Linked DNA regions of Saccharomyces cerevisiae S288C. The protein of the gene in region 2 interacts with the protein of the main gene of each other region in a biochemical or structural test. Each region holds a gene or a part of one and is shown on either strand. Other genes may lie near its edges.

Evidence for each region. Proteins that work in one complex are often made in the same cells at the same time.
Region 1: of the proteins of YPK1 (region 2) and MUK1, one has a biochemical effect on the other in vitro, tested with the Saccharomyces cerevisiae proteins (2 studies listed by BioGRID).
Region 3: of the proteins of YPK1 (region 2) and JSN1, one has a biochemical effect on the other in vitro, tested with the Saccharomyces cerevisiae proteins (one study listed by BioGRID).

The regions. Positions count from the first base shown.
Region 1 is NC_001148.4:419,208-423,286, reverse strand, and holds MUK1 (guanine nucleotide exchange factor MUK1), read right to left. Parts: upstream 2,340-4,079; coding exon 501-2,339; downstream 1-500. Other genes in the region: BTS1 (farnesyltranstransferase), read left to right, coding at 1-402; YPL071C (uncharacterized protein), read left to right, coding at 2,769-3,239; putative ubiquitin-specific protease UBP16, read right to left, coding at 3,276-4,079. UniProt on the Saccharomyces cerevisiae protein: Putative GTPase-activating protein.
Region 2 is NC_001143.9:203,901-208,316, forward strand, and holds YPK1 (serine/threonine protein kinase YPK1), read left to right. Parts: upstream 1-1,806; coding exon 1,807-3,849; downstream 3,850-4,416. Other genes in the region: phosphoglucomutase PGM1, read left to right, coding at 1-1,353; RRN3 (rDNA-binding RNA polymerase I transcriptional factor), read left to right, coding at 4,347-4,416. UniProt on the Saccharomyces cerevisiae protein: Plays an essential role in the proliferation of yeast cells. Involved in a signaling pathway, required for optimal cell wall integrity, that acts in parallel with the PKC1-SLT2-dependent pathway.
Region 3 is NC_001142.9:594,561-599,999, forward strand, and holds JSN1 (Jsn1p), read right to left. Parts: upstream 3,777-5,439; coding exon 501-3,776; downstream 1-500. Other genes in the region: BUD4 (Bud4p), read left to right, coding at 4,175-5,439.

The sequences.
Region 1 (4,079 bases), on a different chromosome or scaffold from region 2:
ATTATTTATCAGATTAGAGATGATTACTTGAATTTGAAAGATTTCCAAATGTCCAGCGAAAAAGGCTTTGCTGAGGACATTACAGAGGGGAAGTTATCTTTTCCCATCGTCCACGCCCTTAACTTCACTAAAACGAAAGGTCAAACTGAGCAACACAATGAAATTCTAAGAATTCTCCTGTTGAGGACAAGTGATAAAGATATAAAACTAAAGCTGATTCAAATACTGGAATTCGACACCAATTCATTGGCCTACACCAAAAATTTTATTAATCAATTAGTGAATATGATAAAAAATGATAATGAAAATAAGTATTTACCTGATTTGGCTTCGCATTCCGACACCGCCACCAATTTACATGACGAATTGTTATATATAATAGACCACTTATCCGAATTGTGAAATAAATTGATCAATCAAATTAGTGGAGGAAGATAGTCAGAAATAAAGCCTTCTCTCCTCCTCTTTCGCATCTATACATACGATTTCATATATACGTTTCATTGCATCATCTTTTGATATATCTCAAAAAGATCTCTTAGTTCGCAAATAGTCAAATCTTCAAATTTATAGCCTTTATATTTTTTCCACGATTTCTGAAACTCCTTTTTATCAGCACCGTTAATGCTAGCGGTTACTGTCAAATCGCCGGTAAATTCGCGATTTCCGTGCTCTAAAGATGCTGAAGATCGTGAAGATGATGAAGTTGATCGTGAGCCATCCCTAGACATCTCTGTTGTATCTCTATTGCTCAATTCCATGGATAATTGAGACGAACTTCGTGGTATGTTTAAGTTGTTGCTACTGTGAAGGTTATTATTGCTAGTATTGTTAGGATGTGGTGGAGTATATGACCTAATTTTTCCGATGATATTTTTTAATGATGAATCAAAAACGGTCCTGAAGCCATCATACGAATTCGATCTTGTAACATCTGGCCTTTGGATAGTAGGAGTCACGATGTCACCTAGGTTACTGCCGTTATTACCGTTGTTTTTATGCATTATAGCAGTTTTTGATGGCAATGAGACTCTACTGCTGATTGAATTTTCTAAAATTTTACTTTCATTTACAGTCAATTTATCTTGTAGCTCATTTGAAAAATCATTTTTGGTTAAGCCTTCAACAAAAACTAATGCAGCTTCTAGATTGGTTAATGCAAAGGATTCTGTTTCGACCAGCTTTTTCTTATATCTGAACAGCCTGATGAATTCGGCATTCAAGAAAATATCCCGTGGAACAATCGTAATAATGTAGTAGATTAGCAACGAAAGATAATCATCATTAGACATTTCTTGGGAATATGTCATGATTTCATGTAGTTTCAGTAGGGCCTTTATCTTTTCACATGGTGAAATCGAATGATAAGTAAACTCATATAAAATATCTTTGATCTCTTCAAACTTTGGTTCCGGATCAATGCCATTATTAAGACTCAGAAACTTTATCAAATTGATTTTATTCATTGTTGAGAGTTTGGACAAACAGAGGATTTTTTCATTCAACAACTTATTGTATTCTGTGAATTCAACACTGTTTCTAAATAGATTTCCAACCTTGAAAGTTTGTAATTGGTGTGGTTTGAAGGTTTTCATTTTATTCGGTGAAGATACGGATGTGCCTACTATAAGAATTTTCTTAAAAACATCTCTTTCACAAAGTTCCATATATTTTTCGATTTTCATGTTGTTTAATTCGTTGATTTTCAATTGCTTTTTTATCTCTTCAGGTGACAACATTTGTGTGGCATTAGTTGAATTTGATATTGACTCATTACTGAAAAGCGATGAAGATCTTCTTGGCCTCATAAGTGAATTTCCACTACTACTCCTACTTCTGCCAAAAATTCCGCTAAGACCACTACTTAACGTTTCTTTGGCAGCCAAGAATGAACTAGAGCCCCCGCCAGAAAAATAATAGCCATTATTATTCGCTGAACTGACGTGCTGGAATGATGCTTTATCAAATTTTATGTAAAAGCTTTGGAAAAGACTAGACAATTGCAGTACTGATAGTGGCCGTACGTACTTTGGCTGCTTTAGGTCATCAATAAAAATGTCAATTAATTTTGATAATTCTGGAGGTAAATTGGTGACAGTGTTCAACGCTTCGTCAATTTCTTGTTTTGTCAATATAGGAGACTTATTGTTTTCTAGCCTTTCTCCTGTTGTAGAGTTTTCATCACCATCACAGCTACTTCTCTCATTGTCATTTTGATCCTCATGTAGATTTTGTTGAAATTGCATGCCGCCAGTTGTGTTCTTGTATGATTCCCTGATGGATTGATTAGGGTCAAACCTTGGATTGGTTATCGGAGGAGTGAATAATTGTCTAGCCATTTGACTTTTATTGTTAGAGGGCGTACTTCTTTTTTATCTGCTCTTCTTCTTGGCTTCTAAAAATACCTTTTGCTCTAAGGGGAATGATGATTTTATGAGTGTCTATAAAGCCAATTCTCTTTCTGCCCAAGATATTAAACACCACACCAATCCGAACAAAATTCAATAGACGAACAACAGTAAGTTTTAATCTATTTTTGCTTCAATGATGCGTTTGGTTGGGTCTTTACTGGAAATCAAATAAGGCTCGGTTATTTGCACACTTTTTTATCCGGGAACCGCTCTTTTACGAAAGCAAATTTCAAAATGTATGTAATACGAAGGCATTAAATTATTCAACAACGGCGCTCGGATATGATTTATATTACACGTCTAGAACGATTAGCAGATAGTAAAACTAGTGGCACGTTTAAATGACTTTTTCATTCCATGAGTTCCCGGTTTGCAAGAAGTAATGGCAATCCCAACCACATTAGGAAAAGAAATCATTCTCCAGACCCAATAGGAATTGATAATTATAAAAGAAAAAGACTAATTATAGATTTAGAGAATTTATCCTTAAATGATAAAGGGCCCAAGAACGGACATGCAGATGATAACAATCTTATTCATAACAATATAGTATTCACAGACGCTATTGATGATAAGGTCCTGAAAGAGATCATCAAGTGTTCCACAAGTAAACGCGGCGACAATGACTTGTTTTATGACAAAATATGGGAACGTTTGAGAGAAAAAAGGCTACAAATAATAAAATGGGTAGATTATAAGGAAATTGCTTATCTAAGCTGGTGGAAGTGGTTCCATAATCAAATGACTTCGAAATACACTTATGATGGAGAGGCTGATACCGATGTTGAAATGATGGCAGTGGATACTGATGTGGATATGGATGCGTAACTTACTATTATTATAATATACCTATGTACAGGGCGGTTATTTATTTACACGTTCGTAGTATAGCATATAAGCATATTTCTGTTCATTCAAGACAGTTGAAGCGGTAGATTCCTTTATGGCGGTATCAGATATTTGCCAATAAGGATACCGCAGGGCGTTTTTGACTTTTTTATATCTGCTTTTTTTGTAATCATTATGTGCAACGTTTTGCTCGCGATTCTTGTTAACTTCATTGTTGACAACTGGTGCTCTTCTGAAGGAAGATTCATCCTCCTTCCCGAAACGAATTTCAGTCTTGCGTCTGTAACACATATAGTGTCCACTCGAATGAGAACCGGTGTGTTTCACAACACTTTTCAAATTATATTTGACTTGCCTGTTTTCTGTTATTGTCCCACTCTCAGCCAATGTATATTCAGAAAGTGTTATTCTTTCTCCAAATTTGACATTGCAGGGATTTCTAGAATATGTAATACCATTGAATGTGGATCTCGATAAGTGAACAATTAATATGTCTGGCAGTTGTACTACTACATCTTTTTTGATGACCTTTCCCTTTATATTAGATACCTGCAAATTGCCCTTTGAGTAACGCTTGACGTACTGTTCTACTTCGAATGGTAAATTTTCGTTAATTGGGGCTTTAGTGGCATAATTTTTCAATCTGTCCAACATTAAAATTTCATCCGGGGTACAGTCCTTGAAATTTCTATATTCTTCATGGTTTAAGATTGCTCTTATTTGGCAGATCAGGCATGAATAGTCGTCTATGATTTCTGTTTCATCGTGTGCTAGAATATTGGATAGATTCTCTGATGTTTGTTGTGGTACGGACAGTTC
Region 2 (4,416 bases):
CACAACCCAGGCGGTCCAGAGAATGATTTAGGTATCAAGTATAATTTACCTAATGGTGGGCCAGCTCCAGAGAGTGTCACTAACGCTATCTGGGAAGCGTCTAAAAAATTAACTCACTATAAAATTATAAAGAACTTCCCCAAGTTGAATTTGAACAAGCTTGGTAAAAACCAAAAATATGGCCCATTGTTAGTGGACATAATTGATCCTGCCAAAGCATACGTTCAATTTCTGAAGGAAATTTTTGATTTTGACTTAATTAAAAGCTTCTTAGCGAAACAGCGCAAAGACAAAGGGTGGAAGTTGTTGTTTGACTCCTTAAATGGTATTACAGGACCATATGGTAAGGCTATATTTGTTGATGAATTTGGTTTACCGGCAGAGGAAGTTCTTCAAAATTGGCACCCTTTACCTGATTTCGGCGGTTTACATCCCGATCCGAATCTAACCTATGCACGAACTCTTGTTGACAGGGTTGACCGCGAAAAAATTGCCTTTGGAGCAGCCTCCGATGGTGATGGTGATAGGAATATGATTTACGGTTATGGCCCTGCTTTCGTTTCGCCAGGTGATTCTGTTGCCATTATTGCCGAATATGCACCCGAAATTCCATACTTCGCCAAACAAGGTATTTATGGCTTGGCACGTTCATTTCCTACATCCTCAGCCATTGATCGTGTTGCAGCAAAAAAGGGATTAAGATGTTACGAAGTTCCAACCGGCTGGAAATTCTTCTGTGCCTTATTTGATGCTAAAAAGCTATCAATCTGTGGTGAAGAATCCTTCGGTACAGGTTCCAATCATATCAGAGAAAAGGACGGTCTATGGGCCATTATTGCTTGGTTAAATATCTTGGCTATCTACCATAGGCGTAACCCTGAAAAGGAAGCTTCGATCAAAACTATTCAGGACGAATTTTGGAACGAGTATGGCCGTACTTTCTTCACAAGATACGATTACGAACATATCGAATGCGAGCAGGCCGAAAAAGTTGTAGCTCTTTTGAGTGAATTTGTATCAAGGCCAAACGTTTGTGGCTCCCACTTCCCAGCTGATGAGTCTTTAACCGTTATCGATTGTGGTGATTTTTCGTATAGAGATCTAGATGGCTCCATCTCTGAAAATCAAGGCCTTTTCGTAAAGTTTTCGAATGGGACTAAATTTGTTTTGAGGTTATCCGGCACAGGCAGTTCTGGTGCAACAATAAGATTATACGTAGAAAAGTATACTGATAAAAAGGAGAACTATGGCCAAACAGCTGACGTCTTCTTGAAACCCGTCATCAACTCCATTGTAAAATTCTTAAGATTTAAAGAAATTTTAGGAACAGACGAACCAACAGTCCGCACATAGAATTATTGGTCTTGAACAAGCACTAATTTTCCAAAGATGTTTTAACTGATCTTAATTTATATGTAGAGGATATATGTAGTATATCTATTTTTTGCTGATTGACTTATCAATTAGCTTCATAATACAACATTGTTTTTGTTTTTCGTTACTCGCGACTTTCTTCGCGGCAGAGCCGCGCTACAGGAAAACAAGATCAAAACATGCCCCTATTGGAAGGCTTAAAAAATGCTTATCCCGAACGAGCCAACGGTAATCAACACTATCGTCATACCAACAACAGTTGAGTTATTTTTCGCTCCCATACTTTTTAGAATTGGTTTGTTTGTGTTTGGTTAAATTTCAAAGCCTTTATATTCTTTGATATAGATTACTCTACAATTTCTTTGTATACAGCGGGAAATTGACACTTCAAAGTTCCTCTCATATCAACAAACATTAATACAGTTCCTGAAAATGTATTCTTGGAAGTCAAAGTTTAAGTTTGGAAAATCTAAAGAAGAAAAAGAAGCCAAACATAGTGGGTTTTTTCACTCCTCTAAAAAGGAAGAACAGCAGAATAATCAAGCAACTGCGGGGGAACATGATGCTTCAATTACTCGTTCATCTTTAGACAGGAAGGGCACGATAAATCCATCAAATTCATCAGTGGTCCCGGTTCGTGTTTCATACGATGCATCCTCATCGACCTCTACTGTACGAGATTCAAATGGTGGTAATTCAGAAAACACGAACTCATCTCAAAATTTAGATGAAACAGCAAATATTGGTTCTACAGGGACACCCAATGATGCCACCTCAAGTTCAGGAATGATGACTATCAAAGTATATAATGGTGATGACTTTATTTTACCTTTTCCGATTACCTCAAGCGAGCAAATATTGAATAAACTATTGGCCTCGGGTGTTCCACCGCCACATAAGGAGATTAGTAAAGAAGTAGATGCTTTAATTGCACAACTGTCCCGTGTTCAAATAAAGAACCAAGGTCCAGCTGATGAAGATTTGATCTCTAGCGAGTCAGCAGCAAAGTTCATCCCATCTACTATCATGTTACCAGGGTCTTCGACCTTAAATCCCTTACTATATTTCACCATTGAATTTGATAATACAGTTGCAACTATTGAAGCAGAGTATGGTACGATCGCTAAACCTGGTTTCAATAAGATATCTACCTTTGATGTGACAAGGAAATTACCTTATTTAAAGATTGATGTATTTGCAAGAATTCCGTCCATTCTTTTGCCCTCGAAGACATGGCAACAGGAGATGGGTTTGCAAGACGAGAAGCTACAGACCATTTTTGATAAAATAAATTCCAATCAAGATATACATTTAGATTCTTTCCATTTGCCCATCAACTTAAGTTTTGACTCTGCAGCTAGTATTAGACTATATAATCACCACTGGATCACATTGGATAATGGCTTGGGTAAGATCAATATTAGTATTGATTATAAACCTTCCAGAAATAAACCTTTGTCCATCGATGATTTCGATCTTTTGAAAGTTATCGGTAAGGGTTCGTTTGGTAAAGTGATGCAAGTCAGAAAGAAAGATACACAAAAAGTATACGCTTTGAAGGCAATCAGAAAATCATACATTGTCTCTAAATCCGAAGTCACGCATACTTTGGCAGAAAGAACCGTTCTAGCACGTGTTGATTGTCCATTTATTGTACCTTTGAAGTTTTCTTTCCAATCACCGGAAAAATTATACTTTGTTTTAGCGTTTATCAATGGTGGTGAGTTGTTTTATCATCTACAAAAGGAAGGAAGGTTTGATTTATCACGTGCCAGATTTTATACCGCAGAATTGTTATGTGCGCTAGACAACTTGCATAAACTAGATGTTGTCTATCGTGATTTGAAACCAGAGAATATTTTATTGGATTATCAAGGCCACATTGCCCTTTGTGATTTCGGGCTATGCAAATTGAATATGAAGGATGATGATAAGACAGATACTTTTTGTGGGACCCCAGAATACTTGGCACCAGAACTATTGCTAGGTTTAGGCTATACAAAGGCAGTAGATTGGTGGACATTGGGAGTCTTGTTATACGAGATGCTCACAGGTCTTCCTCCTTATTATGATGAAGATGTTCCAAAAATGTATAAGAAGATTCTACAGGAGCCACTAGTTTTCCCAGATGGATTTGATAGAGATGCAAAGGATCTATTGATTGGATTATTGAGCCGTGATCCGACAAGAAGATTGGGCTACAATGGTGCCGACGAAATTCGGAACCATCCTTTTTTCAGCCAATTATCATGGAAGCGCCTGTTGATGAAGGGTTATATTCCACCATATAAACCAGCTGTTAGTAATTCCATGGATACTAGTAATTTCGATGAGGAATTCACTAGGGAGAAGCCAATTGATAGTGTGGTAGATGAATACTTGAGTGAAAGTGTTCAAAAGCAATTTGGTGGCTGGACATACGTTGGAAATGAACAGCTAGGTAGCTCAATGGTGCAAGGTAGAAGCATTAGATAGACTTAGTGAATACATTATCAACTAGTTTACTCATGACATACTTTATATAAAAAGAAAGGTTTTCTTTTCCGTTACTTACTGTGTTCAAGATGAAGCAACTGTACCAATGGCGCAATTTAAGTTCTAGGATTTATATTTCGAACGTGGGCAATACTTCACACATGTGTGGCTTGTGTCTCATGGTCATAGCGTATTGCCTCAGCTTATTCTGATTAGATAAAGGATTTCCTCTCTTACCCTTCCGAGATCCGTGTCGATGGGGCGGCAGAAAATAAAAAAAAAAAAAGGTGTTGAAAATTTTCTCCTTGTATAAAAGATATTTTGATGAGCATCTCTCGTTTGCAGTAGCTTCTCCTTTTAAAAATATAAAGGTTGTTTTAATCAGCGTTCGACTTTAAATTAACCCAAGACCCCATTGTTAAAATTCTTACCTTAACCACGAACGGATACATTGTCTGGTAAAGAAATAACTTTTGTGCAAGACAACAGCTGACAAGATGATGGCTTTTGAGAATACAAGTAAACGACCACCCCAGGACTTTGTAGCTCCTATAGATCAAAAAAAAA
Region 3 (5,439 bases), on a different chromosome or scaffold from region 2:
AAAACTGGTGAAGTATGGACAAAAGAAAGTAACACACAGGCACAGTTAAATTTGGTGTTATGTATTTTGCCACGCCTTTTTTGATAATCATATCACTAAATTTGTTAAAAGGCAAATTTTAAAACAAGTTCCTTTACCAAGGAAGGTCCATAGGCGGGTAACCTCAGTAGTAATGAAAGCCTAGTAATGATGACTATAAATGTTCATTAACACATCTGGGTAATAAATGATGATATTTTTAAAAACTGTATAAAACTTTATGGATTTATTTAATCATGATTAGGTGTAGAAAAAAAATTTGGCGATATGATGGCTTGAAAAAGACACGTCTTCCCAGTAATGAAAATGCCCAAATTCTTCATTAGCTCGCTCATATTCTATTAGGATTTGAACCATAAAACCGTTGGGGGTAAATGAGATAGTTTTGAATGGATGCAGGTATGAGAAGAAAACGGCGTGGTCTCCCAATGATGACGGAAATAAAAGAAAACATGGGGACGTCAGTTTGCAGAGTGTAAAGTCAGAGTTTCAAAAACGGTGTTATCGTCGTTATAGTTCGTGTTGTTATTATTGTTGTTGTTGTTCGTATGAGGTTGTGAGGAGCCAACATTGTTTACTAATTCCATAGTAGTGTTGTTATGGTTAGTTAGGCTCAGTTGTGGCAACGATAAACGGGTTCCGTTATTAAAGTTTAGCATATCAAACTGGGAACTTAAGTCATCGTTGTTCATAGCATATCCATTACTGGCGTTGCCTGAAAAGCCGCTGACAGGGAAGACGCCAGGATAACTAAAATAGCCCATTGAAGAATTAGAATTGGCATTCAATGGTTGGCCCGGGGATAATGTAGAGGCAGAAGAACCATTTGTAGTCGTGGTGTTCATTGTGGTATGTTTAGATCCACCACTTTTAACGCTAGAAACAGAAAGACCTCTCATGTGTTGTCCAGAAGTATCAGGAGTGGCGAACATGTGCGAAATGCTGCTGTTATGATGCTGCTGCTGTTGTTGTTTTGTCTTGTTATGAGTACTAGAGGGTGATGCCAACCCGACTTCTTCCAATAAACGGCGGCTTGGTTGGATTTGAGTAGAATCCGTCAATACTTTTCTGACTTGTTTAATGATGTGGGCTCTTAAGTCATCTTCTAATAATGGCATTGCTAAAACTTTATGGACAAAGGTTGGGCCATAATTTGTTTCACATAAAAGCTTTGTTAATTCCTTTGGTGGCGAAGAATCGTGTGCGTTCACGTTTCCAAATAGGGAATCTAGGATGATTTTTCTAGCGTTATCATCCCCTCTGTAATTCAAGACCTTCAAAATAGTCAAAGAAGCCAATCTGTGGCCACATAACTCTACAATTCTTTTCGTCAATCTTGGTGCCAAGATAGAATGTCTGTTGGGTAAAACACTAGTATCTAAAAACCACGTTACTAACAACGCACCATTGCTATTAGTGCTTAGATATTCAGCATATGTAACGATCATTGCACTCAAAACTATTGATTGTTCAGGAGTTACAATGTCATGTGCCTCTAAACAAGCTCTGACTGCCCTTGCACCATATCTATTCTGAACAATAACCCAAAAATTAGCTATTATACTTTCAAAAATAAACTGGTTCCAGGGGAATCCAAATTTCAAAACGCACTGTATGACATAATTTCCGAATTGGTCATTGATTAATGGAGTACAGTAGTCCTTGACCCCTTGCGTCACTTGCATGATTTGTCTCGGAGTATGCGCCATAGTGATCATCTTCTGACAAGCCCATGTTCCGTTTTTGTGAACACCCATAGAGGTTAGGTATTTGCTTGTTTTCCTCAGCATGATGTCTTTAATAATATCAGATGAATGTTCAAATAATTTTTGAACGATAGTGTTACCCAAGTAATCTGAACTCAATTCGGGCAATTCGTCAAGCATTGCAATAGCCAACTGTTCGATCTCTAAGTCGGAAAATGCGTTTGAATCGATTGATTTTCGCAATTCGCGTAATTTTGGTGGATCGAACTCCCTGCCAGACAATGGTTCTGGTAAAGGTCCAAAGTTTTGCGTATCGGAAGTGCCTTTGTGATTCAGCGATTTTTTTATCAACGAATTGATTTGGTATTCATCGGAATTTGCTTCAAAAAGTTCGATGATCTCTCTTAACAAATCTTCCTTTTCGTTAACGTTAGGTGGTGGTAGAGGGAAAGGACATTGTTCTTTTTCATTTGCTGAGTTATTGTTGTTTCCGTGCATACTATTGTTATTATTATAACCATGGAGAACATTGCTAAAACCAGCAGAACCCGAACTATGGTTTTGGTGCTGCGATTGTTGTGATTGCTGGTTAAATACAGGTATAGAAACATTTCCTTGTTGTTGGAAAGTCACAGCTCCATTGAATAACTGCTCCTGTAATAAAGGCTGTGGTTGCAAATTGTTGTTTTCTAAACCCAATGGCAAGCCTTGAGAATTGAGAAGAAATTGTGGGGGTTGTTGATGCATAGGTAAGATTTTGGCAAATGAAATTTTACTTGGTGCTCCAATCATAGATACCTCCTTGCCCTGTAAACTATCTAAGGCTTTTACGGCACTTTCCACGGAAGAAAATTCAACTAAAGCCATGTTTAAATTCCTTAAAGTCCTAGCAGATATGACTTCACCATATTTGGAGCATAGGGTTGCCAAGGAAGTACTTGTTAAGTTTATCGCGTTATTTAATTGTGGCTGCTGGTGCTGTAGGGGAAAAACGTTGGAAATAGAAATGGTATTTGTGGGTAAAAGGTTCGATATTTGGTTTATTGATGGTACAGTGGGGTCCATTGTTACCCAATTGATGGATTGCGGATCTATTTCATCAGCAATCAATGGAGATTCCTGTGTTGGAATAGTATAGTGCGATGAAATACTGGCACGAGCGGGCTGTTCGTACAGTGGAGCGTCGGTATATATGCTAGACGCGTTGGATTGAGATCTCTGTCTGGTATTTGACCAAACAGAGTTTGGGATAGCCAAGTTATTCGTATTCATCTTATTATCTGCCATTTGGCTTCCACTAGTAGATACCATGTTGTCAAAATATGCAGTTTTTGTCGAATAATCGTTGAGCGTGTTTGAATTAGTTGTATTATTGCTTGTCGTAGGTTGCAATTGTTGCAAAAGGTGCTGTTGCATGGGATCGTTCGCACTAGCATTTGAAGACCATATTCCGCTCGAAGTACGAGGCTTGGGGGCGATTGATGAAATGGAAGTTATCTGAGAAGACATTGTGTTGTTTCTCGTCCTCGAGATCTGATGTGGCAAGTTAAACGAGTCGCTAGATCCTCGGGGGGCAGGAATTAAGAAGTTATTACTCGAGTCAGGAAAATGCACCAATTTTTCCATGTCTTGAGGAGGGGTTAAACTGCCAGGTCTATCCATAGTTACACCGTCTATAGAACTTTCCATCATCTTACTCCTGGAAGGGCTGGCCCTTGGTGTCTTGGACGCCACCGTAGATTGGGAACTGTTGTTGCTAGAGGAAAACTCAGCACCGTTCTTTCCGTGACTATTTTTCTTCGAATGGTGTAACTTGGCACTGATGGAGGGCAAAAGGTTACTCAATGTATTAGAAAATTTTCCTGCTCGCGACCTATATGATCCAAGCTTTTGGGGTTGTTGCTGCAGTTGGCTATTACTCTCTCCATTGTTCTCGTATTCTTCCTCGTATATTGGGATAGTGATGCCAGGGTCAATCACCTCGGGGATGTTGGACAAGTTGTTGATGTTCATCTGCTTACTTTTATCCATCTTAAGAAGGAATAAATAGACGTTCACGCTCTTTCTCACACATACACACAAATCTCTCGAAGTGCCTCTTATTGTTTTAACTATTCATCTCTATGCGCCATTGGTCATCCTACGAGAAACGCCCCCCTTTGTCCCAATAATTGTCGGCGGGTAATTTGTCCAAATGAAAAAGAGACATTGTCGCGAGGAACGAATAGATGACCCGATTTGGAAAAAGGTAAACAACAATGAAATATTCCTCGAGAAAACAATAATGTTTATTTATGCAAAGGAAACACTTAGAAGGGAACATCTCCATTCACTAAACTTCGTTGGTTTGGTGTATATTTCTTTGATTCAGTCTGTGCAAGAAGAATTTTTTAGTTCATTAAATTATATAAAAACAAAAGTACAGAAGCATGCACGACGCAGAGAGTACCGTAGATTCTCTACTGAAGGAGATAGACAATGAAATGGAACAAACAAAGTCTAATATCACGCAAAATGGTTCCGAAGATACACCACACAACTGGAAGCTTCCGCTGCAGGAAATAGGCGATGATACCATGGAAATGTTGGTCAAACACAATACTAGGTCGAATGCTACAGAAAATAGTAGAGGTCGATCACCTTCTAAGATGTCTACCATCTCAAATGAAAGCCTTAATTTGGGTCTCTTACGTGTAAATTCGGAACTTGAAGAGTCTCCAGCCGCTGTGCATCAGGAACGGATTAAAAACTCTGTTGCCAACGGGGCACTTGGTCATGCCAATTCTCCCAAAGTGCTTAATAATCTGAAAAATATGGCACAAGATATAGATAAACTAGCCCGTGATGAGGAAAAGCCCGTAAAACTTAGCAGCTCTCCCCTTAAATTTACTTTGAAATCGACTCAACCACTGCTGTCGTATCCAGAATCGCCCATCCACAGAAGTTCTATTGAAATTGAAACGAATTACGATGACGAAGATGAAGAGGAAGAAGATGCATACACATGTTTAACACAGTCACCTCAAATATTACACTCTCCATCAAGGATTCCAATAACTAACGCAGTGTCGATTAATAAGCTCAATCTTGATTTCACATTGAATCCCAACGAATCAGACAAAAGTCTAGTATCTGACACCTCAGTTGATAGCACAGGACGAGAACTAGATACGAAAACAATCCCAGAATTACCATTTTGTATGTCATCAACGCCCGAAATGACGCCAGTCGATGAGAAATGTAACCTTCCAAGTAAATTGTTGAACACTAGTAACAATTCACATTCTGATTCAAGATCGCCAACAGCCTCTGTGGAGGATTTAAACATTTCAACGAATCTGCCGGGTGCTGATTCCAGCCAAAATAATCCAGTCACTACTGATGCGGATGCGCTTATTGAAAACGATGTTGTGCGGGACCTTCAACAGAATATGGAACATATCGATGATGCTTTTGATGAGAAAAAAGTTCTTGACGAAGGTTGCAGCAATGAGCCCGTTACCTTTTTGGGTGAAAATGACACTAGGTCCATAGTATACTCTAATAAAGGGACCAATGCTAATGTTCAAGAATTTTCACAGGAAGATTCTCTAGCGCACAGTGAACCCAAATTCAAAGATCTTAATGCTACATCGGATGACGTATGGAATGAAGACAAAGAAACAGACGCAAATATTTCAACATCTACAAAGTC